Struthio camelus: one gene and its partner. The protein of the gene in region 1 interacts with the protein of each later gene in a pairwise test. Links are inferred from orthologs where the notes say so. Each region holds a gene or a part of one and is shown on either strand. Other genes may lie near its edges.

The links.
Region 2: the proteins of FCHSD2 (region 1) and ABCF3 interact in binary tests that used the Homo sapiens proteins (3 or more experiments, as listed by UniProt). The two-hybrid records come from large-scale screens. The link is inferred for Struthio camelus from reciprocal best matches to the Homo sapiens genes FCHSD2 and ABCF3.

What each region holds. Positions count from the first base shown.
Region 1 is NC_090942.1:222,622,555-222,637,160, forward strand, and holds the start of FCHSD2 (F-BAR and double SH3 domains protein 2), read right to left. Parts: upstream 6,579-14,606; 5' UTR 6,440-6,578; coding exon 6,326-6,439; intron 4,394-6,325; coding exon 4,296-4,393; intron 1,221-4,295; exon of another isoform or gene 1,112-1,220; coding exon of another isoform or gene 1,086-1,111; intron 1-1,085. UniProt on the Homo sapiens protein: Adapter protein that plays a role in endocytosis via clathrin-coated pits. Contributes to the internalization of cell surface receptors, such as integrin ITGB1 and transferrin receptor.
Region 2 is NC_090950.1:22,575,804-22,591,267, reverse strand, and holds the start of ABCF3 (ATP-binding cassette sub-family F member 3), read right to left. Parts: upstream 6,849-15,464; 5' UTR 6,769-6,848; coding exon 6,696-6,768; intron 6,450-6,695; coding exon 6,302-6,449; intron 6,221-6,301; coding exon 6,141-6,220; intron 5,846-6,140; coding exon 5,793-5,845; intron 3,988-5,792; coding exon 3,890-3,987; intron 3,773-3,889; coding exon 3,650-3,772; intron 3,396-3,649; coding exon 3,129-3,395; intron 2,923-3,128; coding exon 2,842-2,922; intron 2,267-2,841; coding exon 2,207-2,266; intron 1,765-2,206; coding exon 1,708-1,764; intron 1,496-1,707; coding exon 1,473-1,495; intron 763-1,472; coding exon 707-762; intron 484-706; coding exon 283-483; intron 40-282; coding exon 1-39. Other genes in the region: AP2M1 (AP-2 complex subunit mu), read right to left, coding at 8,911-9,045, 9,385-9,496, 9,620-9,717, 10,515-10,650, 11,173-11,292, 13,737-13,878, 13,976-14,111.

The DNA of each region.
Region 1 (14,606 bases):
AAGAAGAACTCCCCACTCAGTAAATAAATACAAAGGCTTAACAAACTTAGCACACCTAAGCTATACACTAAATGTTAAGCATCAAAGCTTCCTGGAAACAGAGGTGATACCCAAAAACTGATTACAATTCAGGAGCTCAGAACTGGATAAAGGAATAAGGAAGAGATGTGAAGGATCAGGGAGGGGAAAACAAGAGTTTCAAAAAAAAAAAAAAAAAAGAAAAATTTTAAGTACAGAACAATCTTCAGAGAACAGACCTTTGGAGGAGAGAACGGAAACACAAAACGTACCATACAAAGGCAAGACAGCAGAAGGAGAAAGGTGAACGACAAAGAAGATACAGAGTGCAATGAGAACGTGGTTTTATGAGAAAAAGGTGAATGAATTTAAAGGATACATTACAGTGAGATAAGCTAGACTGAACAATGAGGAGAGGAAGATGTTTTAAATAAGAAGAGAAAGTAAGGAGGGAGAAACGAAAAGGACAGACGAAATAGCTCCTCCTGTTCGTTTCACTCTACATATATTTGCATGCACATCTGTGAAACACATGGAAATTACGAGCCTATGGTTTTGACAATTCCTTTTACACGCTGAGTTCAGCTGAAAGTAATGAAAAACTAAATTCAGGACCCAGCAAATGAAAGGACCACGTTGCTATTCCATCTCAGCCAGAAATCATGCAAGTTTTACATCTCCTTTCAACACGCTGCACACTCAACTGACGCCAAACAGCGTCACAGGATCAACACACCCAGACAGCAGAAAATTAGTTAAGACTTAAATAAGGTGGCCTTTCTAACCATGCAGTTCACAAGGCTGCAGCTGTGCCTTCTGCAGGAGCACTAGGCTGGGGTTACCCAGCGACTCCAACCCCGCGCCCAGTCTGGGCGGCAACCCCGCGGTCGTGCTTTCCACCTCCACCCCAGCTACTCGTTCCTTCTGCCCCTCACGCTAGCAGCAGCATCTGTGCAATCACGCAGCAAGCTGGATCAGGGAACTGATTTATCTAAAAATTATCTTTTTTGGCGGGGAGGAGTCAGGGGATGGTTTGTTTTCAGGTGTTCCTAATCCAAACGGCTCACCCAGCCACATGGGTCCTTGCGCCCATTCGTATAGGCAGGCAGTAGAAATAGTTAGCGAGCGGGACCGGCCCTTCAGCAGCAGTTCAGACTTTCAGAACAGATTAAAACAGCCACGTAACCATAACCTCGCTCTCTCTGGCAAAACATAAAAGCAAGGAAATAAGAACAGACATTTTAGAAAACACTATCCAAAACCTGTAATATATACACAATTCTTTTGAGAGCCATGCTTTGAGATAACACACAAGGTAAAGCAACAACCGCATAACAAGTTTATAAAGTCTACAGCGCATAAACACATTACGGAAACGTTAAATCAAATTCAAGTGTGGATCTCACAGAGTTCTTCCCAATTTTGCAGGCGCATGCACACGCACAAAAGGAAAATACATCTACACCCTGGCAACTGAAGGATAAATCCAGACTACAATGTGTGACTTATTTACGGCCACCAATCAAATACGGTAACGTTTAAAACCAAAATAAAATACATGAAAACCTGCCAACACCTCTGATAAATTCAACCATTCATAACGCACTTGGCCATTGGAAAAACTGAATTTGCTGCCCGAAAGAAGCCAGGAACGGCTAGAGTGAACAAGCATCCCAAAACTTCTAGCCGTAGAGGAACTTTGAAGAATTTCTGGCTCACACCAACAAAGCCTAGAGTACACAGACGACATATTTCAAATTTAATTAAACATGGTGGGTTTGTGTACAGCCCTCAAGGAGATTAAGTAGCTACAGATGGGGTGAAGAATAGGCAGTTTCACCTGTATGCCTCAACCCCAACCAAGAAGAGACCCTTCTCGAATAAACAGTAGTTCAGTCTGCATCGTCTCCAAATGACATAGTTTGAAGTTTTCAACTACGAACATTTAAGAGAGTGTTCAGTTTTGCATTAAAACATCAAAGCTGTTGAAATGGAAAGTATGTTTATGTTCTGGTACGTTGCCAAAATCATCTGCTAATACACTATACAATGAATGCATTTTAACAGAATTCATGAGAAAACTTTCCGATCTTTTCCTTGTATAACTTCTTCATTACGGATATTTAAAACTTTATTCAAAACTGGGCTGAAAGGATATAAAGAATGCAATTAAGGACATTAGATGCTAGACTTGTTTGTTTTTTTTAAATATTGCATACATGGCTTAAATACCTGCATTTATATGCTAACAAATGCAGTAACTATTTGTAGTAATTTAACCTTTTAAAATATGAATTCTTATTCACTAACTTGTAAGCCATGCATTCAGAGTTTCTTGTTAGTGCTGCAGTAGTTACATATCTAGAATTTAGAGCAGCATAAAACAGTACCAAGCTGTACTCTTGCACTACTGGAAAGTTCAAACAGTACTACAAAAGGAACAGAACTCTCTGACGTCTTGGTAAACAAAGAGCATTCAGTTAAAATTTAATACTTCTGGATAGTGGCAGAATGCTTTCTTTAAAAATAATTATTCATGCAAGAGACAAAAGAGATCCCGTGCATGGTTCCAACGAATGCTGCTTTCTGGAGCGCTCTGCAATCACGGGGTGCTGCATAGCCTCAATGTAGCGACAAACACACGAGGACTGGGACGGGGTGGACGCCAAACTTCTCACACGAGTGTCATAAAGCGACTGATGCAGTATCAAGACTATACAGCCCTCAAAGCCAAGGTCCTCCTTGACAGCTAAACACAAAGACCTCTGCTTTACAAGCCAAGAAAATTTTTTTCAGCAAGCATTCTTAAGCAAAAATTCTCTTGTTGTCTCCTACTCTGTAATCCGGTGTTTGAACAAATCATTGCCACGATGGAGCTGTCATATTCTATCACGTCATTCCATGTTTGAAGAATATTTAATCTGTAAATCCACATAGTGATTCTGCAAACACAGAAGGCTTGTAACAAGAATGCTGATCAGAGACCACGTACATTTAGTGACCATGTTAGTGAATTAAGTACATTAACCCAGTTTCTTAATCCATAGCATTAACATTTAGAAATTAAATTAATGTTAGAGATTAAATTACATTACAGAAAAGTATTTTAAGCCAGCATTTTCACATTTTCTTGTTTTTTTAACCACAGGCTAATAATGCTTATGACATCTTTCAGCAGAAATCCAGACTTAAGTCATTATGAGCCCCTGAAAAAGAGGAAATGCTATTAAAACCTGGACTAGAGCAGCAGTACCTGGCCTAGAAACCTGATTTTGGAACATCTACCTAGGGGAAAAAACTCCTCAGATCAATCTGTTACTTATCACTCAGCATTTACTAGTCAAACACTGCACAGCCACTAATTTTAATCTAAGGAAATAAATGCTGTGATCATTCCCATACAGAAAAGTGTTTCAATGCCCACAGAAGAAAACAGGGTGAGAAAACACTGAAGTCTCGACACACTGATTTAGGACACCGAGAGCGAGACACACAGCATGTCATTTGTCAAAGCGGCCATATTTGCATTTTATATACAAACACAAAGCAAGAAATCTCATTTAACTAATTAACAGGTGGAATAAATGGTGACAAAAGGAAGGACAGCAGTGGATTCACTGATGAACGCTTTACAGAATAGCCATTCTAGAAACCGACCCTCTCCAAATGGAATGATTAAGCCTCCATATAATTCCAGGTACTCCCTATCTCCGTGAGTATTTTGTTAAAAGTAAACTTTTATGTTAAAGGGAAGCAATGGCATTAGTTAAAATGAATAATAAAAAAACACAGTTTACGTTATCTAGATTCTCCCCATTGATCTTAGCCTGAAAAGAGTTTAGGTTATAAACGTAAGAACCTTCTTTTAAGTTTCTGGGAAAAAATGAAATGCATTTAAAAGTGCTATTCAAAGCCATCTCTAACAAGACATAGTTCATCAGTGGTTTTAAAATATTTTCAATAATTTTAGCAGCCTCTTTAAACTGGTAAATCAAATAAATTATTATATAGAGAAATACTGCTGAAAAGACTAATACTTTTTGCATGTTGTTTGCGACTTTTTTTTTTTAAACATTTCCCCCATTGAAGAGAAGAAAAAATGGTTTGCATTGTGTTAGCTCCAGTTATAATTTCCAGCTGTGTCAAAACTTTAACAGCCTAAAAGCAGGAAATCCAAAGAGGAAATTCCATCGTCAGTTCCTGACGTTTTGTAACTCAAAAGTTCTTCCAAAGCTAGATCTTAAAGGAATTTTTGGTTGCATTTTCTGTAACCTTACCTGATATCTTCAAGTAGCTCACATTCTGCCTGATGCTTGGCCTGAAGTTTTGTCATCTGCTCAACCTGAATGTTTTTTAGCTCTTGTGTAACTTTCACCTACAAAAAAAAAAAAAAACACAGACCATATATATTTTCTGTAGGGGTTAGGTCAAATTTCAAAAAGAAAACAAAATTTATTTCTCTCATCAATTTTGAATTTGCATATTTCAGTGGAAAATTAGAACACAGAATTAATAATGCAACTTAACCCTATGATTTCAACAAATGCTGTAAGCCCAGCAGGCCTTCATTTCATACGTCACAAATCTCAAACTTATGCCCTAACATTAACAAAAATGTTTTGTTTTATTTTGTTTTTCCAAAGAGCTATGAAAATAATTGGGGGAGGGAACAAGCTTGAAAAAGGAAAACGGGTAACAGGGAGAAAACTGATGGTGTGTACACTTAGCACTTCAGCATAGCTTACACAATTGTGGAATGTGTCTTGATTAAGTCATCCTACAACTACTATAATTAAAGACAGTTTAAACAAAGCTATTTCTTAATCGTGCATCAGAGCCCTTCTACATAAGGTACCTCATAAGGCTGGCTTTAGCTTTTGAGTATTACGTAATTTTCCTTTGGCCCTCACAATCCCGAGGATTTCAATAATTTGAGAACCCACCCGCTAATTTGTAAAAGGGCAAAAGACCAGGATTTGACTTAGGCAAGGGAACCTGTATCCTCTCCCCTCCTTTTATTTTTTTTCTTTTTTTAAAAACAAGCAGTCTGGGCATTTAAGCCCTCTAGTGAGCACAAGGAGTCCAAGTATCAGCCTAAAAAAAAAAAAAAAAAAAAAAAAAAAAAGGATCACCAGCATATCAAAAGATGTTATGCGTTCATGAGGACCGAAATGCCTAACAGTTGCTGTAACGGGGGAAGAAAAAAGAAAAACGCAGAGAAGAGGTAGACACAAATCTCCCTCCTCTTACCAGCCAGGCAAAAAAAATCTTCCAGGTCACATTGGCTAGGAAAAGCCTTCTCAAATTTAAGGCTGAGTCAAAAAAAGAAAAAAAAAAAAGACACCACCACCACCAACAACCAGGACCCTTTAATCACAGCACTAAAGACATTTTTCACATTAGTGCCTACGAGATACTGAAAGTCACACGTCCAGGCCTGACTCTGATTAAGCAGGAAAAAAAAAAATCTATTTTTAACATTAACTTTCAACGTTTTTACTTTCATCTGCACATGAAAAAAAAAAAATCTATTTTAAATAAATAAACCCACGCAAGATAACCCATGCAATGGAAATGACCGCAAATGAAATAATGTGGGTAAAGAATGACACCCACGTAACATAAATAAGCTGCCAAACGCAAACTAAAATAGCAAGAAGAACCCTTTAACAAAAGCAGAGTCCACCCGCAAAACAAGGGGGTGAGAGGCAGCAATGAGACACGGAGGGCTCTTGGCTGCAGCTGGCTGCCCGGGGTTACTGGGGAGCTCAGGGAACGACAAGGGGGATTTCTGTTTACGCTCCCTTGCGCGGTCTTCCTCAAGTCTTCCTCTATAAATCTCAACACCACGCACGAAGCCTTAAACATCCACACTGAACCACGACGGTCTGAGCGCAAAGCATTTCGGCGCACGCCTCCAAGCAGCGGACAACACCCCGACGAACGTAACGCGCTAATGATCTCAAAACCAGCAAACTCCCCCCCCCGCCCCGCGATCCTTATTAGTGAGCAACCTCTAAACCTTTTCCGAGGCTCGCTTTACCACCTCGAGCTCCCCCGTTCTCCCCATATTCCAGCCCTTGCATACAGCTCTCAAAATAACTAATCAATACATCTCCGTACATCAGTGCTCACGCTCGAGACCCCACCATAGCTCAAGTCTTCCATGAACAACCTGCCTGCACAGACAAGCCGCACCGGCAACAACCTTTTTCCAAATCTACCTCACATCCTCCCGCACCAGCGGCCGTAAGGCGAAGCACCCCGTATTCCTGTGGGCCGCAAGGACACCAAAAAGCCTCCCCACCTCACGCAGCGTTTGCAACCAGCATGTGCAGATTGTTCCCGTCACACCTGTGTTACACAGCCGTGGCTGTCCCTCTTTGCTCACGCTCCTGATCCACCCAGGGACAACCTGCATCCTTACAGCAACTCCAGACGCGACCTTCCACTCCAGCACAACCAGCAGCAGTTGCTTTTAACCCACCCAGACACAACAAAGTCCTCTAAACGCAGCCAGTACCACCCCACAACCAACACAGGCTGTCCTAAAACCCTAAGTACAGCCTAGCCCTTTGCGATCATTGACCCCCCTTCTAACCCTACCACCCCACGGCTCTCCTTTAGTGCGGCCACTGCCACCCCCACCGTACTCCACCTAACCAGCCCCCTGCCCTCCATCTCCTCCACCTTCACCTTCCCCTCCAGCCCATGCCCTATTCCATCTCCAGGCTTCTCCATCCAGCCACTGCCTCCCCCACCTGCACAGCCCCTCTCCTGCCAACACCGTGCCCACCCACTTCGAAATCCCCCCCCCCCAAAGCCCCTTTTCCCATTGTCCCTAAGGCTGCCCCAGCCCCAATTAATCACTTGTTCCCTCTAACGCTTGCTCCTCATCTTCTCTCCTGCCTCCAGGCTCCACCACCCCGGTTTACCCAGCACATCCACACCTCTGCCTGCCCCATCCAGCCACTGCTGCCCCCCACAACCCCCCTCCTTACGCCCCATCCTGCCCCCAGACCTCGCTGCCCCTTGGCCAGGAGTTGCCCGAATCCTACCCTCTCCAAACACAGCCCCACATCCCAACCCTCCACCTCATCCAAACGCAGACCCATCTCCATGGAGCCACTGTCTCCCTCTTCTTCCCCCCCCCCCGCCCCGACTCCCAACACCCTGCCCAGGCTTCCCCAAATACAGCCCCCTCCAGCATCCCCCCTCCCCACACCCTGCCCAGGCTTCTCCCAAATACAGCCTCCCCCCCCCCCCCATTATCTCCCATGCCCTGCCCCAACCCCCCCCCATACCCCACCCCCAGGCTCCCCCTGGGTCCCCCCTCCCCATGCCCTGCCCCAGCCCCCCATTACCCCCCCATACCCTGCCCCAGCCCCCCCAATACCTCCCCTTCCCCACACCCTGCCCCAGCCCCCCCATAGCCCACCCCAGGCCCCCCCGGGTCCTCCCTCCCCATGCACTGCCCCAGCTCCCTATACCCCACCCCCAGGCCCCACTCAGGTCCCCCCTCCCCACACCCTACCCCAGCCCCCCATTACCCCCCCATACCCTGCCCCAGCCCCTCCACCACCCCCCCACCCTACCCCAGCCCATTACCTCCCCCTCCCCACACCCTGCCCCAGCCCCCCCACACTGCACCCCCAGGTCCCCCTGCCCCATACCGTGCCCCAGCCCCCATTACCCCCCCCACAGCCTAACCTAGCCCATTACCTCCCCCTCCCCACACCCTACCCCAGCCCCCCCCACCTCCCACACCCTGCCCCAGCCCTCTATTATCCCCCCAAACCCTGCCCCAGCTCCCCCCCACCTCCCCTTCCCCACACCCTGCCCCAGTCCCCCATTACCCCCCCACACCCTACCCCAGCCCCACCTCCCCCTCCCCATACCCTACCCCAGTCCCCCATTCCCCCCCACACACCCTGCCCCAGCCCCCCTATACCCCACCCCCAGGCCCCCCCACCTCCCCCTCCCCATACCCTACCCCAGCCCTCCATTACCCCCCCACACCCTGCCCCAGCCCCCCTATACCCCACCCCCAGGCCCCCCCACCTCCCCCTCCCCATACCCTACCCCAGTCCCCCATTACCCCCCCACACCCTACCCCAGCCCCACCTCCCCCTCCCCACACCCTACCCCAGCCCTCCATTACCCCCCACACCCTACCCCAGCCCCCCTATACCCCACCCCCAGGCCCCCCCACCTCCCCTTCCCCACACCCTACCCCAGTCCACTACCTCCCCCTCCCCATACCCTACCCCAGCCCTCCATTACCCCCCCACACCCTACCCCACCTCCCCCTCCCCATACCCTACCCCAGCCCTCCATTACCCCCCCACACCCTACCCCACCTCCCCCTCCCCATACCCTACCCCAGCCCTCCATTACCCCCCCACACCCTACCCCACCTCCCCCTCCCCATACCCTACCCCAGCCCTCCATTACCCCCCCACACCCTACCCCACCTCCCCCTCCCCATACCCTACCCCAGCCCCACCTCCCCCTCCCCATACCCTACCCCACCCCTAGGCCCCCCCCCCCCGCCCGGGGAGGCCTCACCTTCCTCGGCGGCGGCTGCATGGTGCTGCGCTGGGTCTCCACATCAATTCTGCCCCCGCGGCAGCAGGATGCGGCCCCGGCTGCAGCAGCAGCAGGAGGAGGAGGAGGAGGAAGAGGAGGCGGAGAGGAGCCCGTGTGCCTGCCGGCGCGGCGGCGGAGGCCGCTTCCTCACGGGCACCGCGTCCCCCGCCGGGCAGCCAGGAGGCGGGCGGCTCGGCTGGGCTGGCGGAGAAAGGGGAGGAGGAGTGGAGGGGGGGGGGGGGAACGAGAGGGGAGGGGAAAAAAAAGAGAGAAAAAAAGAAAAAAAAAAAGAGAGAGAAGCCGGGAGGCGAACAGCGGCTCGGCAGCGCCCCGCTGAGGAGGACCGCGGCCATGCTGTGATCCTCCGAGCTGCCTAGAAGGACGAACCATAGAGTTCCGGGCGAGGAGAGAACGGAGGAGCCGGCTGGCCACGCCCCCCCCGCCGCCCTCCCCGCCTGCTCCCGCGCCGCCCGCTAGGGGGCGCCATAAGGAGGGCGGCGGCGGCGGGCGGTGCTGGGCGCGCGCGGTGCGCTGGGAGGCGGCTGGTGCATCGCAGCGGTCGGGCAGGGGGGCGCTGGGCTGCGGGCGCGTTGCACGGGCAGGCCGCAGGCGTGTTGCACAGGGAAGCTGCCGCTGGGCTGCGAGGTCGCCTGGCCTTGCTCAGCCGAGCTTCATTAGAGCCGCTGGAAGGACGGCTTGGAAATAATCCTTTTTAGCAGAAATTCCCAGGGCGGTTCGCAGAGCGCCGGGCGAGGCTCCTAATTGCGTTTCCCCGAGCGCGGCGGCGTTGCTGCACCTTATTATCGTTGAGCTGCTTTACTCCCACTCACCGGAAATGACCTCTGGCCTCCTAACAGCTTTAACCGTCTTTAACACTTTTTTTTTTTTTTTTAACTAAACGTAACTTGCATTCTCCTTTTTCCTCCGGCTATTAGGTTATTTAGTGCGGCTAATTAGTACAACTCGCTCTCGCCGGGGAAACCGCCTCAAAACGATGAGTGAGACGCGGGGCATCGATATACGCTGGTAACGTACGGCGCTCAGCCCCAATTCGTTTTGACTGCTGAATCTGAATATCCCAATTTAAGCTTGTTTTTTTCTTCCTTAAATTGCATGCGGTTAGAAAGTTCCCGCAGTCCCGGCCGGACACTGCAACTACAATAATTAATCCTTTCGCGGTCCAGCTTGGTGTCCGCCGCTGTCGGGTGCATCCCGCTGAGAAACGCCGCTGCACCTGACGTTTTCCAGCCGTGCTGGGTGCAGGGACATCGCCGCAGGGTGGCAGCAGTTGCAATGGGCACAGCGTAGCCCAAGCGGAGGGGAAAAATAGAGAGTTTTTGGCACTTTTTTGATTGCAGCATCGTTTCAAAGGGAGAGGCAGCTGAAGGACCCATATAGTTTGGTCGATAGTCATTGGTCTGCCCGAGAGCCAGCCGCTTCCGAGCGGTCCGATGTTCCTCGGAGCGCTCCCGCGGCACCGCGCGTCTGGGTAGGTGGATGCGGAGAGCAGGGAGAGCCGCGTGGTCCCTGCCCTTAAGGAGTATTTCTGGGATGGAGGAAAAGCAGCCACCCCACGCCTGCATCCGTTCCTCGCCGCGCCCTGAGCAATGCCCGCTTTGCGCTTGGGAACAGGAACACGAGGACCACCGCGAAAAGTGCCAGCGCGCGTCCGCCCAAATAGGTTTGCCGGCACAGCGGGTTTGGCTAAAAACCTGGAAAACCGAACTGTGATCCTTCTCGACAGAAGGCAGGCCCTGGGGAGCGTTTTGGGGGCGGCGGGGCAGGGTTTCCGAGTCTGACGCAGAGTGCGATGAGTTATGCCAGGCCTCAGCCTGCAGCGGGAGGGGGCGGCCGCAGCCGCACCGCGTGGCTCGGCCCGCCGCAAGGCCAGTGGAGAGCGTGCGGGGAACGCCTGCCGCCCCCCGGGAAGGGCGCGTTTCACATTGGGCTCCAGCGTACGGGAAATAAAAGGCTTGACAGCTGCAGGAGATCAATAGAGAAAGAAGGAAAGAATGAAGCAAAGAGAAAAATGGAGAGGAAAAAAAGGAAAAGGAAAAAAGAGAGAAGGAGAGAGAGAGAAAAGGGGAGAGACAAAAAGGAAAAAGGGAGAGAGAAAAAGGAAAAGGAAAAAGGGAGTGAGGAAATGGAAAAAAGAGGGAGAGAGAAAAAGGAAAAAGAAAGACAGAGCGAGGAAAAGGAAAAAGAGAGAGAAAAAGGAAAAAGAGAAAAGGGAGAGAAAAGACAAAGAGGGAGAGTAGAAAGGAAAAAAAGGAGAGAGGAGAGGAAAAAGTGAGAAAGGGAGAAAAGTAAAAACAGGAAGGAAGGAAAAGAATGCGAGAGAACAAGGACTGAGAATGAAGGAAAGAACAAGAATGAGAGAGAAAGGAAGAAAAGAGGAAGGAAAAAGTGAAGGAAAAGAGACAGAAAGGGAAAGGAAGGAGGGAAAACTAGATAGATGGAGAAAGAATGAGAGAACAAGAACAAGAGAGAAAGAGAAAGGGGAGGACAGAAGAAAGAAAGAAAAACTGTAAGAATATTTAAGTCTTGAAATATAATCCTAAAGAAGCTATGGAATCTCCATCAGCAGAAGTTCTTAATGCTAGGTTAGAGAGCAGCTAAAGTATGGTTGAGGGATGTTTCTTCCTCCTGAAAGAAGGATAAAAGACGTAACTTCTTTAGTGTAAGGGTGACAGAGCGTTGGAACAGGTTGCCCAGAGAGATAGTGGAGTCTCCTTGGCTGGAGATATTCAAAACCCGCCTGGACGCGATCCTGGGCAATGTGCTCTAGAGGACCCTGCTTGAGCAGGGAGGTTGGACTAGATGATCTCCAGAGGTCCCTTCCAACCTCAACCGTTCTGTGGTTCTGTGATTATCCTTCATAGTTGACCGTGACCCCCCGGAGCGATGTTGCAGCCCTTCCCTTCCCTTCCCTGCAGCAGCAGCTCCTGCCCGAGCGCTTTCTCCCCGCCGCGCTCGGAGGCCGCCGGCGTTTCCGCCTCTTGCAGCCCCGCTCCCGCTGCCCTTCTGCCTTTCCTGCAGCAAAGCCCGCTCTGCGCCAGCGGGTTTTTCCCTCCACCTGAAGAGGTGGTGGCGCGCGGGCCGGAGCGCTGAGCAGCAAGGCTTTCTGCATCTGCACCCTCGCCGGCGTCCCTCCGAGACTCGGGGTGGAAACACGAAATCCAAGCGTCACCCACAGCCCGGCTCCCTGGCCGCTGCGATGGTGCGAGAGGCAAAGTCTCTTCGGCTGTAAAATTGTGCATTCACTGACTCCGGGGATGTTTCAGCCTTTTTTGGGACTGTCAGATCAGCCTCAAACTGCGTTTTGCTGCCCTACCTAGTTGTATCATATCTGACCGGCATCGTGGTACAGGACAGGCAAAAGATGACAATTGAGATTGCTCGAACTTTGCCCCTCTGCCATGCAAAAGAGAGTATATGGATCAGGAAGAGTAAGATTCACACTTCTGCAGAGGGACCTACCTCAGAGTAGCTCTTCCTGCCTCTGTCGTACCATTAGTGGAGCTCTTTGGAGCTGGCGTAGCGTAATATGCCATAACGTGTAGAGATAATCACAGAACGGTTGAGGTTGGACAGGACTTCTGGAGACCATCTAGTCCAACCGCCCTGCTCAAGCCGGCTTAGCTAGAACCAGTTCTCCATGACCATGTCCAGCTGGGTTTTGAGTACCCCCAAAGATACTCCACAACCTCATTATTGTGTTTCCAGTGGCCTGCGTGGGAGGATAGACGTTGCTGCCCACTCAAGCAGTGAGCAGTGCGTTTGGAGTGAGAGGGTCAGGAGAAAGACATGGTTGATCCATGCACTTGGTTGCATGCTCCTGTCCCGCCAAGCAGAGGTGAGACTCTGCAGAAGAGTTTGCGCGAGTCTGGCACGTTCCTGGCTCTGGGGGCTGTGCTGGTAAATGGCTGCAGTCACTGCTGCGCCCAAACACATGAGGGCGCTCCAAAATATCAGCATTTGTAAGGATGTTGGGCCCGTCCAGCTCCATGGGGTTAACCTGGGAGCCTTAGACAGTTAACTTGAGCCTCTCAGGCTTTCTGCATGCTCTGGCACTCCCCAGCTGGGGGCGAATCACTCATTGGAGCTTGTTATAACCTGGTGCAAGCTGGAGAAACTTTGAAGTGGCTCTACAGGAGCCCAGGGGCTGAACCAGCCTCCTCCAGGTTGAACTCGGGTGGAATGGAGCGTCCTACAGCTGAGATTGCCGTGGGGGATGAAGGTCCAGCTGAGCAGTTAGCAAGGGCTGGAAGAGAGCCCGCACCCAGCCACAACCCTGCCACATCCTGCTCAGGCCTGTTCCACAGCGTTTGGGTGCAGGAGGCACTAGTAGACCCAGGCTGCTTTGTTCCTTGTGCTCAGCTGTTCTGGCCTCTCCCCATTCCTTGCTTGTAATGTTTACCATACCTGCCAGGTGGGACAGGGATTAATTTCCATGACAACGCATTGCCCAGAGTAAATATCTCCAAGCAGGGAGGCTTAGCAAGATTTTTTTTTTTTTCCCAAAGCATTGGCAACTTTCCTGCTCTTTTCCTGGGTGGGTGCTCATGACCAGACATGAACATAAGGCTCCATGGAGGCAGAAGGAATCTACTGCATGCAAGACCCGTCTGGAGGAAGTCAAAAGATTAGTCCTGAGTCCTGGTGTCGGACAGCACCGATGTTGTCTCCCATCATCTGAGTTCGTCTCAGAGTTGGAGAGCAGAAGTGAGGAAGCAAAGAGAGGACCCATGTGAGATGAGGACTACGCCCAGAGGTCTCAAGTGACAGCTTGCTGCCATTTTAGCCACCGATGGGACTGAATCTGCACGCCGTGGGGCTACCATGGTCTGAGCATCGTAGGTCTAGGAAAGAGCAGATGGAATCCAGCCCCACAAAGCACGACCCCACCAGTTCACACTTGAACACCCACTGGTCACTTTGGAATGCAAAGTTGTATTACATTATCAGCGTTTCAGGAGCACAAGATGGAAAGCCACTGATACTACAAGGGCAGGTGAGACCCAAGAAGAGTCTCAAGTTGGCAACCGTCCTGAGGCTCTGGACTATTTTGGCAGCAGGCATGGCCTCACGGGCTGCATCCTCAGGGCTTCCTTTCCCATCAGGGTTCATCTAGCATACAAAAGAGGCCAGGATAGCTTGGTGCTTTAGAACCATTTTACGTCCACCACCATCACTAGAAAAGCCCCCAGTTCTCTCCTACTGTGACTGAGCTTGTCCTCTTCCTCTCTGTTGACAAGCAGCACTATAGAGCTGGTGTTGAGTGGCACAGTGCTGCCCAAACCTCCTCCCCAGCCCAAATCTGCTCACGACCAGAGGTGTTCTGCAGAGGATGGAGGGTCCCTCCTTGGCCAGGGTGGTTTCTCCATGACAGCAATTCAGATGAACTGAGTCTGACCATGGATGTCCTTTTGTCTAAGCTGAAAACACAAGCAGTGACTTCCTGGGAGTCTATGCTCACACGCTTGCTTTGATCAGGCTCCCAGGGGTCTTGAGCACGAGAGACAGGCTCAGTCCAGTGGGATCACATTGCACCTGGGGTGTTGGACACCCAGAGATGGGTGCAGAGCTTTTGGGTGCAGCAGGACACAAGGCAGGCCACCTGCCAGATCCAGCCCCACAGATTCACCATCTCCAGGTGGAGTCCTAGGAACCCACATCTGTGTTCCACTAGGAGTTGTCACCATCACTTCTGTGGAGCTATGATGGGATCTGAAGTGTTGCTGTCACCTGCCTCCACTGGCTGTATCTGGGGACAGGAAAAGGCCGGATAGCAGGATTTTGTACAAAGTGGAGGAAGGCTACATTCATGCAGTAAGCTGCATGCACACCTTGCTTGGTCTCCAGGACAAAGCCAAGTGCTCCACGTGGAGCCACGTGGGCACTTTCTTTGTTGCTAGCTGCCGCGTGGAAGATTTCTCCGCAGCTCACACCCCCCATACTGATAGTCAACATCCCTCTGTAGACCCCCCAGACCATAG
Region 2 (15,464 bases), on another chromosome or scaffold:
CGCCCGGTTCGCATTGTAGCGAAAGCGGTCGATGAACACCTAAGAGACGAGCATCAGAGTCACAGGGCCTATTTGGCCCCAGCCATGCTGCTCTGCTGCTAAGCATCCTGCAACACCAGAGCCACTTCCATGGGTCACAGTCATCTCAAGACTGAACAGCAGCAAAAACTCCAAGAGCAAAGATTACTGGAAGCAGGGTAACTTGGGAGGCTCATTAGAAGCATGGAGAAAGGGACAAGACTAGGAGAACAGTGCCCAGATGCTACTGGTTTCTCCTAGTACCTGGATATGTTCACGGTACTGCTGCTGAGCTTCGTACTCTCGCTGCTGGTTCTTCAGTCGTTCCTCCTTGATCTTCATGAAGTTCTCAAAGTCTCCACGGTACGTGTCCAGCCGCTGTGAGTGCAGGTGGATGATGTCCGTGGCCACTGTGTTCAGGAAGTTCCTGTCGTGGGACACCACTAGAATGGTTGACTGCCAAGTCTGGAGGAGACAGTGACAGGGACACCTGAGCCACACTTTACATCAGCATCATCAAGCCAGAGCACGGGACTCGGCCCCACCACCCAGCAAGGCAAGGCCCTAGGCTGGGAAGACGTGTCCATCTGCCAGCTGGCAAGTCCAGCACCAGGCCAGAGCCTCCGACACCTCACAGCAGCCCTGACCAAGCCCCGCTCTGTCCCAGGGCCTCCTGCCACCCCCCTACCTGCAGGTAGTTCTCGAGCCACAAAATGGCCCTCACATCCAGCATGTTCGTTGGCTCTACGGGAAAAGAGAGAAGCACTGAGGTCAGGATTAGGATGGCTGGATCATGCTTCTTTACACAGGAAAGGCTAGTGATTGGCATCCTGAGGTGGGGAGCTTCTCCCACAGCTCAGGGAGTGTGGGTCAGGGGAACTCGTATATGCAGGTGTGCTGAGGGGGTGGGCACTGGGGCCAGGGTTCAGCCAGGGATGCTCCCTGCAGCCAGTACTGGCCCCTGGCACCCTGCAGCAGTGCCTCACCCAGAGCTCTACATCGAAGCTGGGCACCTCTGCAGGATATCAGCTGAGCCCCAGCTCCAGTGATGTCTCCTGCCTCATTTCCTGTGGTGAAGAGATTCTCCCACTGCAATCAGCTGGGTGCCAGGGCCCCATCACAGGGACGGGGCGGGGAGAAGGGGACCATCTGGGACAGGATGACATGCTGATCCCCTGGCTGAGGCATGGGGCAGTTCCTCAAGATAGGCAGAGCTCTGCTGAGTTCAGTTGAAGTGGCTGCTTGAGTGGATTTCCCAGCTGAGGACCGCTCCTCGTCATCCCCAGCTCTGCCCCTACCGTGCCAGAGGAGCACTGACAGCCCTGCTAGTGCTGGCTGTGTCACGCAGGGCTATTTTGAGCAGGCTGTTAAAGGCCACGCTCCGTTCCCAACCCCAGCAAGGGCACAGGCAGACCTAGCAGTGGCGTTACAGGGGATTCACAGTATCGACTTACCATCCAGCAAAAGGAGATCTGGCCTAGGAAAAGCAAGACGCAGGCATCAGAAGCAAAAAGAGCACAGGGTTAACGCAGAGCACGTTTCACCACACACACTGAGCTGCAATGCCTCAAACGCTCCCCACCCTGAGGCTCAGACGAGAGGACCCCCCAGCCAGCTCCTTGCAGCACTCTGACAGCAAGGAGGGCTAACCCCATAGCAAAGCACGGGCACAAACCTCCGGACACCTACCTAGCAAAAAGTGCTCTGGCTAAGGCCAGTCTCATTCTCCAGCCTCCGGAAAACTCTCTGAGGAGAGAAGAGGTTGCACAGAGGGAGTGTTAGCGTTTGATGCAGAACAACTCTGAGCTTGCCTGCCTGCCAGGCTCCCTGCTCCCACACTCCTCCACAGCCCTTTTAGCTCCGCTGTCACCCATAGACAGCTTGTCCCTGTAGAGATCGTGGACACAGCATGAGTCCTGTCACACACAGCTCCTCCCCAGGCCAGCAGACAGGTGGCTTGGCACCCCCTAGGCAGGAGGCTGCATCAGAAAGGCACAAATAGACCTACAGCATCCTGCAGGGCTCCCCTCTCACAGTTACAGCCACTCTCCCTGTGTCAGATCAAGGCACAGCCAGGGCAGCACCTAGGGGTTCGCCAGGAGAGAGATAACCCTGCTGGCCACCGGGGCTGGGACACAGGATCTCTCCAGACCCATTATATTTTGACACCCAGAGCCTGGAGACTTACTTGGTTGTCTGTTGTTGCATCTTTGCGTTGAAGCCCAGCCCTGCAAGAATGACGGATGCCCTGGGGAAAAGGGAGAGAACTGGAACCCACCTATACCATGGAGCTGCAGAGCACAGTCCAAGTTCCCAAACCCTTGGTCACTGTGGGGGGTCTCTGCTACATGGTTTAAGGCTGCTCTCATGCGGGAAAAATCCCTTGCAGGCCCAACAGCAGCACTTGCCTGGGAAACGCAACCCAGCAGGGCCCAGCATCCACATGGAGTCGCAGGAGACTCACAATAAGGTACCAACTTCAAAGCTTTTGGCTCTTTGGCCAGAAAGAGAATCGCTAACATCAACATTCCATAAATCCTCCCCAGACACCAGGAGCCTGGGGAGGTCTGCGAGAAGCAGCAGCAATAATGTAAGCCATTGGCAGCAAAAAATCCCTCCTGCCTCTGGAGGAAGCTTGACTACTCCCAGTCCAGCATGGCAGTAATGGAAGAAGAGACAAGAACAGCATTAGAGAGAGCCCTTCATCCTCACATGCTGGATCCCAGGGGCACAGCATCACCCTTCCATGCTGCCTACGCCAAACCACTGCCCCACTCTGGTGATGCACACAGATAGATGGCAGTGCTCGCAGGACTGTCTCACCTTGCTGGTGCCTTGTCTGCCTCAATCTCCTCCAACTTCGCGTAGATCTCTGATAGCCTGGCACCTTCTGTCCCTTCTCCCCTGGAGCCGAGCAAAGAGAAGCACATGGGACTGACTGAGGTCAAGGTTTGAGTGCTGGGGGAAGCTGATCTCCCCAAGCAGGACTAAAGTGGGTGAAATGCATCCGAGCCCTGATGGAGCCTTCCACTGGAAGGGAGAGATCTCAGAACAAAACCTCACGCTCAAGACATCGTAGAAGGGCTGAAAACCCAGATGCAACATCTCACCTGCCAGCATTAACCCTGGCTGTCAGTTCCCTCTCCTCCCGTAGCAGGTTCTCACGAGTAGTGTCGCACTCCAGCACACTGTGCAGGGCCAGCGTCTCGTCCCCCGCCACCTCCTGCTCCACATGCAGGATGCTGATATGCGAGGGGATGCGCAGGCTCCGGCTGGCAATCATCTTCAGCAGTGTGGTCTTGCCCAGACCGTTCCTGCCCACCAGCCCATAGCGCCGTCCGAATGCCAGGTTCAGGTCTGCCCCCGCGAGTAGGACACTAAGGCGAGAAAACAGGCAGGTAGCTCCTGCTCAGATTGTCCTGTGGAAACGGAGGCAACTGGCAGCTGCCTGCCCCAAGCAGATTTCAGGCTGTGCTGGGGCCAAGCAACCTTCACAGGCTTTTCCTGCCCAAAGCCAACAGGATTAGGTGTTCACCTTGCTCCTTTCCATACCCTCTGTCATTCCCGACCGCTTTTCGAACCAGCCTCATTACCCCAGCCTGAAACCCCAACCAGGGCTATCTGCACTCACCGCTCGCCAAAGGACACATCGAAATTCTCGATGCGCACATCATATGACTTGTTCTTGCCTGATGACTCCATGCGGGTCTCCTTCTTGCTGGCAGCTTGGCTGGCAGATGCCTCCTCAAGGACCCTGCAAGGCAGGCAGAAGACAGAGAAGGGAGTTCAACAGGAAAGCTCTGGCTTGGTCGGATCCAGGCATACTCAGCAGAGCAGGCTGGGAGTGTTTCCAGCCACCCTCCCTACTCACAGAGGACCAGAAGACTTTAGGGAATCCCGCTCCATCCTCTTGTCCTGCTTGGCTTTCAGCCTGGCTTCTGCCTTCTCCAGTTTCTTGGCATTTACCATCTAGGGCACAAAGAATGGAGTTGAAAGAATCGAAAGCATCTTCAGCAGAAGTCCAAAGAGCAGGACTCCAAGAGAAAAGAGATCAATCCCTTGTGCCTAGAGAGAAGGAAGGCAGGAGGGAAGTAGGACAGGGAACTAGGACAGATTCAAGTACAATTTAGGGAAGCTGATCAGGCCAGGTGGTTGGCTCAGGAATGAAGTCCCAAATCAACTGCTTATATACACAACAGTTCTGCCTCAGCAAGGCAAAGGGTTTGGCTGACCCTAACCGTACACTCTTCCTCGCAGTCAGTTTTTCTGGTTTCAGGAACCTGGGTCAGCCAAGTTACTTCTGCTACAACAACCTGGCCTCCCAATGCTTGCTCCAGAATACCCTACACCTACCTTCACCCTAGACGTTAAGCATTTTCTTTCCCCAGCATGTTAAACGCTAGCCAGTTTGGAACAAACTCAAGTTAGGCACTAGATCAATCAAGACAGAGATAAAAAGCAATTAATTAAATGTGAAGGCAAGAAGGAGCCAAGTGTTTTAACCTGGCCTCTGGACTTAGCTAGGCTTTCAGCCCACTCCAACTTACTCCTGTGTCAAGTCAAATATTTGTGGCTGACCAAGAACGCTCCTAGATATTTCTAGGCAACACTTCAGCCACTGGAGCATGCTGCAGACCTGCATGCTAGACTGAAGAGCGCCTTGTTACTGGAATCGTGGCCCAGCACCTACAGATAGATTGAGTCACTCTGTAAACTAAATTGAGCTCCTCAAATCTCTCAGTAAGACCTATCTTCCAAAACTTGAGAGGCCCCCCAGGCCTTCTCTGAATCTTTTCCAATTTTTCTGAATATCTCTTTTGAGTTGTGGACACAAGAACCAGACAGCAAACCCAGCAACAGCTACTCCAGTGCCAAAACAAGCAACAGCATCCAGCTCTCACCTAATGCTCCCATTTAGACATGCAGGGATCACATTAGGTCTCAGTCTCCACGCTAGGAGTTCTTGTGCTCAACCCATTACCCCAAGAAGGGAGAACTCCATAAGAGACCAGCCTGGTGGAGAAAGTGCCCAGCCTGTAAAGCTATTTCCATCTTCGCTTTGCAGATGCACAACCACACCTCTCAAAAACACATGCACACTCAATGCAGAAGGCAACCCAGGTCTCTCCTGAGCAGGTACGCGTTTCATTAGCAAACGCATTCTGATTTCTTACAAGTCACAGGGATTAGCTACTTCCAAACTTTTCTGCTCCTCAAATCATGACAACCACAGCCGTTTCTAAAGCAGGACTTACAATCTCCCTGCAGCAGCTCTGTGGGAAACAGCTGCTCCATGCTAACTCCCCACCTGTAACATCCTGACATCTAATCTTTAGCCAAGATTTTATCTCTAATCGAGTATGATGCAAAGTCGTCCTGGTACATTCTAATTTCTCAATCAAAGGCCGGCAGTATGGGCCAAAGGCTCTTATCGAGTCAGAGAAGCTCTCCTCTGAGCACTACCACTGCATCAACCACACTTGAAAGCTTGTTAAAAAGTTACAGCAAAATAGATCCTGAAAAACTGGTGTGCTGCTAACTCCTGTTGATCCTCTTTACCAGACAGAGCAAACAGTTTCACGAAATACAGCGAAACTGAAGCAAAAGGGCAGTTACCTCCATGCAGCTGTGCGCCTAACCACAGCAGCTCCCTTCCTGGCTGCTCACAGAGGGAGAGGTGACTGGAGCAGAGCCGGGCAGTTGCAGCTCCAGTGTTACTTGTCTGTACCCTCGCAGACCATGCGGGAACAAGGAGAACCTGGCCCTCCACTTACCGAGGTCTGGTCCCTCTTCAGTAACAGCCCTGGCAACAGGTCCACGCTGGCATCTGCAACAAGTCGTACAGTGAAAAGGTGGCCCAGAGAGGCTCCAGTCAGCGCTCCTGCACCTGCCCACAAGCACACGCGACTTCTCCCTCTCCTGCATGACAAGGGCACCCAAAGGACGCCTCTTGCCCTTCCAAATCAGACCCCCCTCGCAAGCAGCCAGGGGCTGGAGACGACTCCCCCCAGGGTGAGGAGCCAGGTAAAGGTGCGCTCCGCGCCCCAAGCCCGTCCTCGCCGTGCGTCCACACCTCCCCACCGAGCCGGGGGGGCCGCGGCCCCTCGGCGGGGTCCTCTCACCGTAGCTGTCGGCGATCTGGGAGAGCTGGATGGGGGCATCCAGCAGCACCTGGCTGCAGCGCTGGGCCCTCTGCTCGTCCCTGCGAGAGAGGGGGGGAGGTGAGGGCCCGGCGGCGGGGCCGGGGCCGGGGCCGGGGCGGCGGGGCTGGGGCGACCCTTACAGCTGGAGGGTGTTGAAGAGGCGCTGGCAGATCTCGCGGATGGCGCCGTCGTCCTTGGCGTCCTGCGACACCTCCCGCAGCAGCTCCCCCACCGCCTCCACCAGGTCGTCCACCGACTCGAAGTCGGCGCTGCCGCCGTGCAGGATCCCTGCGGGCGACACGGCGCCTGCAGACCCCGCCCGCTCGCGCGCGCGCTGTCGCGACTCCGCCCGCGCTGTCGCGACTCCGCCGACAGGCGGCGCCCGCAGCCCTTCCCCTCTCCCCCCCTCCCCCGTCGGCTCTCCCGTCCTGTCGCGACGCGGGCGCGGCCCGGCGCCGCGTGTCGCGATAGCGGTCGCGTGTCGCGACGCGCGGAGGCGAGGGGCCGAGCCCCGGGGCGGCGGGCGCCGCTCACCCGTCACGTAAGCGAAGACCTCGCCGTCCAGGTCGGGGAACTCGCTGCGGAGGATGTCGGCGCACGACGCCATGGCGGACGCGGTCGCGGAGCCGGGCTCGCCGCCGCCCGGGCCCGCCGCCGCCGCCGCCACACGGAGCCCGGCAGAGCGGCCGAGGCGGAAGGGACGGCAGCGCGCGCGGGGAGTGCCGGGAAGCAGGCGGGCGGCCGCCATGCGCGCGGGGGCCGCTGGGAAATGTAGTCCGCGCGGGGGCGGTGGTGTGCACGGGCGGGGCGGGGGCGCCCCCCGCGCTGTGCAGCGCCGAGCTCCCGCGCTCAGGCTGCGCTGGGCCACGGGGGCGCCGGGAGCCAGGCTGGAGGTAGGGGAGGGCAGCGGCTTCTCACAAGCAAGGGAGAGCCACCCCCAGCACACACCCCACCCCGCTACAGCAGCTGCACCTATGTGCATAGCAGCCCTGTGAGCAGACAGTAGTAGAAGCGTGGCCCAGGACAGCTGAGGGTTTGCACCCCCAAAGGCACCTCCACACCTCCTTCTCCAGTCCAGGGCTGCACCTTTGCATCTTTCAAAACTCTCACCAAGCCAGGTTCCGGCACCCTCACATCCCCTGCTCTCCCGCCAGGGTTTGATCACGTGTAGGATAAGATGGGCTAAGGCAGGGGGCAGCCCACAGCAGCCCTGCAGGAGGCTGGAGTGAACGGGCATCCAAGCCCCAGGGATAGGTCACCTCAACTGCCAGGTACAGCACCCTCCCCTCCCCTTTGTTTTTTTTTTTTTTTTTCCCCTCCAGCTGTCTAAAGGAAAAGCCAGAGCAGTTTGCTTAGGTCAGGCTTCGGTAGAGAAGCCAAGCCTGCAAGTAGCTGGACAAGCATAACAAAGAGGGCAGTGCAGTTCCACACGGTTGCAGGCCTCAGCGAGTCAGGTCTGCCCTCTTCCCTGCTCTAGTTCAGAGCCCAGCACTCCCCAGCATAGAGGGGCCAAGCACTGTTGGCTCCTGCAGCTCACCAGCACCGAGGGGTCCTGCAGCTCACAGCACCCTCATTGCACCAGGGAGCAGCAGCTGGAACTCAGCACTAACATGGCTGGAAGCAAGAGCATCCCTGCTCTTTGCACCTACTAACCCAGAGGCAGTCCAGTGCTGGGGAAGCAGCAAATGCAAGCCCCAGGACAACCTCGGGCAGGGACCCAGAGCACAGCCCAGGGTTTTGCATCACAACTCCCAAATAGCAGCAGTGGCAGCCTTCTCCATTCTACATACTTTATTAGATTCAGAGCTGGACAAATCACAAAGTGTACAAAATGGAGACCACACTACCAGAAGCAGGATTGTGGGTAGCAGCAGCATTCCTATGGCCCAGAAGCATTTGGTAGAAGTGTGGAGAGGGCAGGCTGGGGCAGGGGGCTCTTACTGCCATTGGCATTTTAGACTCTAGAGGACAGACCCTGTTCACATCCTGACAGAGCTCAGTTGCCCCACACTCCCTGGGACAGAGGGGCCAAGTTTACAATCTGGTTGGAAAAGACAGACTGGCCCAAGCCAGTAGCAGGTGGGGGTAAGTGCTCTAAGGACCTGAAATGCTGTGCCACCCACATACACACCAGCAAGAGTCTAAACCCTCATCCTTTTTGGTCACAAACCTTCCCATGGCAGGACTCTATACTGAAGACTTTGCAAGAAATATAAAGTGGTGAGGTCCAGTGAGCCCACCATCTCCTCCGGTGGAGGCCTGACAAACTCACCACCCCAGGTATCTCAGACTGGCCAGCAACATCTACCACAACAGCAATAGCTAGTACAGAAGCCAGGGTAACTTCAACTCAGATTTGTCCAGTCTATGTTTAGGTCTAATCTACGGGTACATATGCACAAGAACGTCAAAAATACTAGGATATGATGCAAGTAGTGAGACACCAACAGAAGAGGAGTTTAATGGTGGACGTTCCCTAGAAAGATCATGAGAGGATGGGAGTTAGACTAGCCCTTCCCCACCCTGGGACAGAAAGCAGGAGGCTGACAGCATCCCTGCACATGACTGGGTTCTGAACTTCAGCTGCAGCATGGGTGGTAACTGAGCACAGGCAGGCGAGTCCATTCCCAAGGTGAGCCACAGGGTCTTTCCATCTGTAGAGGGGCCAGGCAGATGTTCTCTGAATGTACTTGAAGACGGAGGAGACGTGGAGGATGGCTTGAAGAGGGAGCCTGCCAGCTTGCTCGGGCTAGCATCTGGTCTCATAGATCCCACTCCTGCCAATGTACCTGACCCATTTTATCACATCATGGTCACTGTAGTTCAGCTTTGGCTCAAAGACTTTCAGGTAACGCACCTTCAGCCCAGAGGGCGCGAACGGGACCTATTGATTAAAGGGAAAGGCAACGGAGAGCATTGGAACACAGAGAAAAGATGGTATGCACACAAAACAGCCTGAGGACCCCCAGCCAAGCATCTGGAAACAGACACAGAGTTACTGTTTCCTTCTTTATACCCTGCATGCGTGGTGACAGACTCCATTGGCCTTCAGGGCATTTTTCTTCCTTTAGCTTTGCTACCTGTAGGGGTGGCCTCATGCTAGGAAGAGTCACAGAGCAGTCAGGGACAGGGAGGTCTCAGACCTGAGCAGTTCCCATGAGGGCAGAAGGAAATGACAAAGCATCTCCAGGTTAGCTGTGCCCTGGAAGGTGGACTGACTCACCTCAAAGTTCATGGAGATTGGGGGCCGAGCCCACTTCTTCTTATCATTGGTGGGCAGCAGCTCGATCTCTGCACTGATCTGGGATTCCTTCATTCCAGCCATACGTTTAATCCTATCAGGGAAGGCCCAGAGGTGAAGAAATAACCGAGTCTATTCGCTAGGCATGCTCACTGCAGAGGCACAGAACAGCTTCTGCCTCCCCAAGCTCTGCTCCTGCCCAACCATGCTCACTTACTTCCAGACAATGGCATTCTCACTGGCCTTGTACTTTGCCTTCCCTTTCATACAGATGACTTGCACTCCACTGGTATTGAGGGGGGTTGGGATCCGGACCTGGAAGGAAGAGTCTGGTGAGCAGGGGCAAGGAGACCACAGCCCGACCACTCCACGCAGGCTCACAGGAAGACTGACACTTCCCAGGACAGTGCAGTTGCTGTCCTGGATCCCTTGGCCTTCTCCCTCCATCTCAAGGCCCAGAGTATATCAGCTACCCTGAAGCATCATAGGCTGGCTCTCTGATTTCTTGTGTTGGAGTAAAGGCTCAAACAAGTTCGTAAAATCCACAACAGTCTATGAGGAACAGGGCAGAGCACTTCAGCTCAGGCTACAGATGTGCAGCAGGAAATTCTACTAGCGTCAGACAGATGAGCTCAGGCAGGATGCCAGGCTGCTCAGGGAGGTCTGCTCAGATTGGGCTCTGGGCAGTCTGACTTTGCAGCAACAGCCCTTCCCCAGAAGAGGGCTAGGCTGCACATCTACCCTTACCCTTGGCTGTCTTAAACATCTCATAGCCCACTACCTGTCTGATGTTCTGTTAGATCATGCAGACAGAAGAACATGAGCTTTTCATAGTGGCAAAGATGTTAAGTGAACAGCTGCTTTGCACTCTTCCAAGCAGGTACTGCAGGGAATGAGTCTTCTGCCAAGGAACGATGTTCTTAGTTGCCAATGCAACTAAGAACAGCTTCCACCTCCCTACTACACAGGGCCTCCCCTCCAGCACAGCAGCAATACACATCTGTAGGACTTTCAGTTCACTCTTAGTCCTGTACAAACTTGAGGACTATCTGTGAGACATAACTAGAGACACAGTTCCCAGGCACAAGAAACCTCAAGTTTTATTCTCTTACCTCTATCTTCTGGGCAAGCAAGGAAGGCTTGAAATTTGACTTGATCACCACCTTCACTTCCAGCTTGGTCCGACCCACCTCCCGCACCAGAGGGATCACGCGGAAGGGAAGGATGATGTCCTTAGTGGTTCGGTATCTGCAAGGAGAGAGGCAACAATGAACTCCAAGAAGGAGCTAACTCTTAGGGCCTCAAATTGTACTACCTTCCTAAAGGGACAGCCTCCACACACAGGGAACAGCTTAAAAGCATCAGCCAGAAAGGGAGCCATCCCAAAAGTAAGCAGCAGTTAGATCCGTGCTGCCCTAGGCCACTGATGACTTCGAGTCCCAAGTTCTGTATCTTGTTCCTGCAAAGTGACCCTGTTCAAAGACACCAGTTTTAGGCACTACCAGATACAGTAGGCTAAAGGGCAGGGAAACCCATATCCAATGCCAAGATTGTGACAAAAAAAAAAAAAAACCAACAACATGGAGCTGGGCTTCTATTGCATCTGTAAAGAAGGACTTGTAAGACACCCTATAGACTGCACTATGAAAAGAAAGGAAGGCAGCACGTTTGCTGCTTCCTCAAGGGCAGCAAGTCTGCCTGGAGACCAGCAGCACAACTGTAGCAGCAAGCAGATGCCAACATCAGATTGTTCATTCCCTATCACCATACCTCATGAGTTCAAACTCTCCATCTGGTGGAATGAAACTGATGCTCCTCTCAGAGTCAAACTTGCTGAGTCTCACACACTGGTGGAAAGTGCAGTCGTCAATGGCAATTGACTGTTTGCCACTAAAACACAAGACAGAGTTAAACAAGCGCAAGTTGCAGCCCCAGTATGTTGGTGCAGGCAGAGTCTGCTCAGGCAGAAACTATTCTACAGAGCATGTTGCCATCGCAGGTGTCCAGGAAACGGGGAGGCAGGGAGAGATTTAAGGGACAGGCTCTGCTGGCTTAGGCTTCCTTTGTTTCACACTCGCCAAGATCAGACTTCAAGCTTGTTTAAAAGAGCTCTTTCCCTCCTCTCCCCAAGAGGAGAGGTTAGAGCAGCACCCTTCAGTCACAGCCAGGAATGCAACGCTTAGGTCTGCCTGTCAGCAGCTTCTCAGCACTGCAAGGGCAACTCTGCTAGCCCAAGTCTTCTTGCAGTGCAGTCCAAGGGGGGGAAAAGCATTCCCTGTCCACAAAGCTATCCCACTGCCACACAGCTAGGAGATGCCACATTTGGGGTCTACCTGCTCAGAAACCTCCTCACAGCTGAGAATTTCCATGCTGCTAGCTCATGGTTTGACCCAGGACAGAAACCTTCTTCCTCAGGCCAGCATAGCAACCAATTTACTGAGGACAAAAACGCCTGCCACAAACGTTTTCATGTTTTTTATTTCTAAAACCTAGACAGCTAATGTCTGTGCAGCTAGGTGCACTGGACTAACCTGCCAGTACTCAACCTGTATCGGGTTCCAGTTTGACAATGTTTTCCTTGCTACAGGTCCCAGAGTTAGCCAAGAATGCCTCTCGGGTACTGAGAGGAGCTAGAAAATGAGACAGAGGCACCAGCATAGAGAAGGTGCGGCAATGTAGGATTATGATATCTAGGCTGCCTCAACTGCTGTGAGCAACAGGACAGCTATGTAAGCGCATAGAGATAGTATAAGCAACACAGGCCTGTTTAGTCATACTGAGACCCCACCATTACCTGCATATGTGGGAAGCAGACCGAGTCCAGGCTGAATGGTTGCTTACTTTACACAGCCCACTGGTGTAGCTTATGCTCCATAAGTGAAGGTTAGTCTTTTCCAATCTATTGCCCAGATGACAGCCAACATTAGCAGACTTGTTCTTTGGTTTCTTTGGAACGCTGCTGGGAAAGCTCTGCTGCCTAGCACCGGTTCAAGTCTCAAGCAGCATTACTCAGAGGTTTGGTACTGCCACATGCTAGACGCCAAAAAACAACTAGCAACAGCTGTCCCTTTTGGCCACTTTATTACTAAATGCTTCTGGACAGTGACATCTCTGAGCTCTTGCCTACTGGAGAACCACAGTTTGGGAGAGCCACCCAGCAAGAGCTTTAGCTCCATCCTGCTTCTCTAACTCAAGAAAATGGTGTATTTACAGGTGAAGATGCTCATACAGCATAAAAGTTTTAGGACAAACATTGTTATTGACTGTTCAGAAGCCTACACAGATGACGTTTTCACTAGGGTATTTCACTACAGGCCAGCACCTGAGGCTCAGTCCATTTTACTGACTAGATCCAGGTACTGGAGAGATTAAAGGTGACAGTGAAGTGACAGCTCTTGGCTTGGTTCTAAGAGAAAAGGCAAACAGCAGCTCAGCTCAGTTTACAGGAATCATCATGGAAAGTGTCTGAGATCTGGGTTACATGCACAAGTCAAAGCAGTAGACAAGGAAGGAAGCAGAGTGCACATGTAGCTGAAGCAGATTATCTACCTTCCCAATTCACTGGGGGGTCAGCAAAAAAAGCACACAAAAGAAACAGTTGAGTCATAAATGGTTAGTGGGAGAAAAAATGGCAGTCCCTTTGCTTTGATCTCTTCCCCTTAAGCAGTAACACTGGAAAAAAGCATAAAGTCCCTCTTCAGCATAGGATAGGTGCTGATTGAGGCACAGCTGGGAATGAAGGTAGCTGACTCCCAAAAGGGTGAGCCTCCAGCCCACATTGCTGCTAACGATCCTACATCAGCAGAAGGGGCTTACCCAAACATTAGCCCTGTCAGCTGGAACAGTCTGGAACATGTTATGGCCAGAGGGGTTCCTTCACTGTTCCTTGGGGGCACTGTTCCTGTATCCTGCAAGAGCCTCTGCACCAACTAGAGCTGCTAGAGACACAAGCTCTGGGAGAATCATCTTTGGAGGAAGGTTTCCAGCTGCAAGAACTCCACACTCGGCACTATATTTGAATCTTAATACTTCAAGAAAGATGACAGCCCAGAGGATCCCACTGCTCCTGATACTTTCCCATGCATAGGTGTGAAGTCTGACACCTAAGATGTGCACAGGTGAAGTGTCATTAGCCCTGCTATGGGGAAGCCCTTTATATCAAGGCCCTGAGGTTGTTACCTTGCAGGATAACTGACCTACCCAGACGAAAAACTAGCGGCAATACCTGAAGAGAAGGAAAGACAAGCTTCATCTGTCAGATCAGAGCAGCTACTAAGTGCTCCCTTTCATAAAGGTCCCTGGTAGCAAGTGACTTTTACCCCAACACGTCTTACCTTTTCCCCGTTTCATCCGCAGTCCCTTTGCCCTGTTTTTCAATGACAATCTTGTCATTCATGCCAAACTTGCACTCTGGCATTCCACTCAGATAACTCTTCATCACCACTCTGCCAGAGACATGGGCACTCAAAACCTGACCTGGTGTAGAGAAGAATGCAGTTCAGAATACACATGCAAGTCCCCACTCAAGAGCCCTGAAGGGCAAAAGGATGCCAGCTTAGCACTTCCCACTTACCCTGGGGGGACATCAGGAGATTCACGCTCTCCAGCACATCAAGAAAGAGTTCATTGCGACGATATTTGATCCCTTCACGTCTCCATCCAATCTGTCCAGTCACCTGGCTGGTGATCTGGGACTGCTCTTCCTTAGTCTGAAGGGAAGGAGATGACATCTTAGACCTCTAGATAAACACAAAGACTAAGAAAGCTTGCTCTAAATTAAGAGGAAGCACTTGCCATTTACTGTACACAACTGCTTCTGCCACTTAAGAGGTGGGTGTTGTCACACGTCCCGTGATTTGGTCACCAAAGCAGTGCTCAGTGCAGTGAATTCTGTGCCTAACTACAAATTGGTCCTCAAGACAGCAAGAAAGATTTTTTTCATTTTTGTTAGCTACTCTATCAGGCCATGCTTTAGGTGTGGGAGGGTGTGGGCTCCACTGATGACTTCCAAGTCATGGCTGACAGACCATCACATCAATCCATATGTTAGGGAGGAAGGCAGCTGCCAGGCCAATTTGCCACCCTTATCTAACATGAGGCAGCCAGTCCCCAAGGGCTGCTTCTTGCCAGCATGCGGTTTGGGGCAACAGTTCTACGCTGACGCTAACCTAACACATATCTAGCAGTGTTCAGGCTCTAAGCCTCCTAAGAGCGCTACGGATTATGTTGAGAGGCACAGCAAGGTCTCCTACCTGATGCTATAGGCGGGGTCCAGTCACACGCAGAAAGTGAAGAGGTAGATGTATAGCAGCAAGTGTGGTGCACACAGGGTTAACAGGCAAGCAGGTCAATAGCAAGAAAGGGGAGGAAGGGAGAAAGAGGCAAGTTAGGCTTAAGGCTACCTCAGGACAGGAACAAAGCAGTGCAGCTCATCACTAACTAGGCAGCAAAAAACAAGATGAGGGGCTCGGACCTTTAGCTCAGGAAACCCACTACTCCCAGTCGTGAAATGGCTTTTCAGGCTTGGCCCATCACGTACCACTCAAACAGAAAGCAGCAAGATGGAATGACAGACAGGCCAAATACCACTCCCAGCGACACTCCTAGGCAGGGCAGACTCCTCACAATGCCATTCCTAAAGCAAGCCCTGAATGTTTACTATGGCATAGACAACCAGACTATGAGAAGTACTAGGCATCCAGCACCATGGGCATTTTAATAAGTCTGGTTCCTATAAAAAGTTATGTCCTCATTAATTCTGCCTCTTCTACCAGAAGAGCAGAAAGCAGAAGTGGGTCTTGCCCCAGCAGCCTTGCACTGGGGCCACAGGGTGGCAGTGCATGAACTCAAGTTTTAAACCAGCAATGGTTCAGTTCCACATGGGGCTCTTATCAGGGACTTGGTCACTCCTTGAGCTAGCAGACCCATTACAGTAACATCCAAGAGGCAGAGCATTTTTTACTCCATCGGGAACTGCTTAGATAAATGCTCAATGCAGTGCAAAGTAACTCCCTTGTCTGCCCCACAAAAAGCCTCCTTATTTGCCCTGTTCAGTGCTCTGT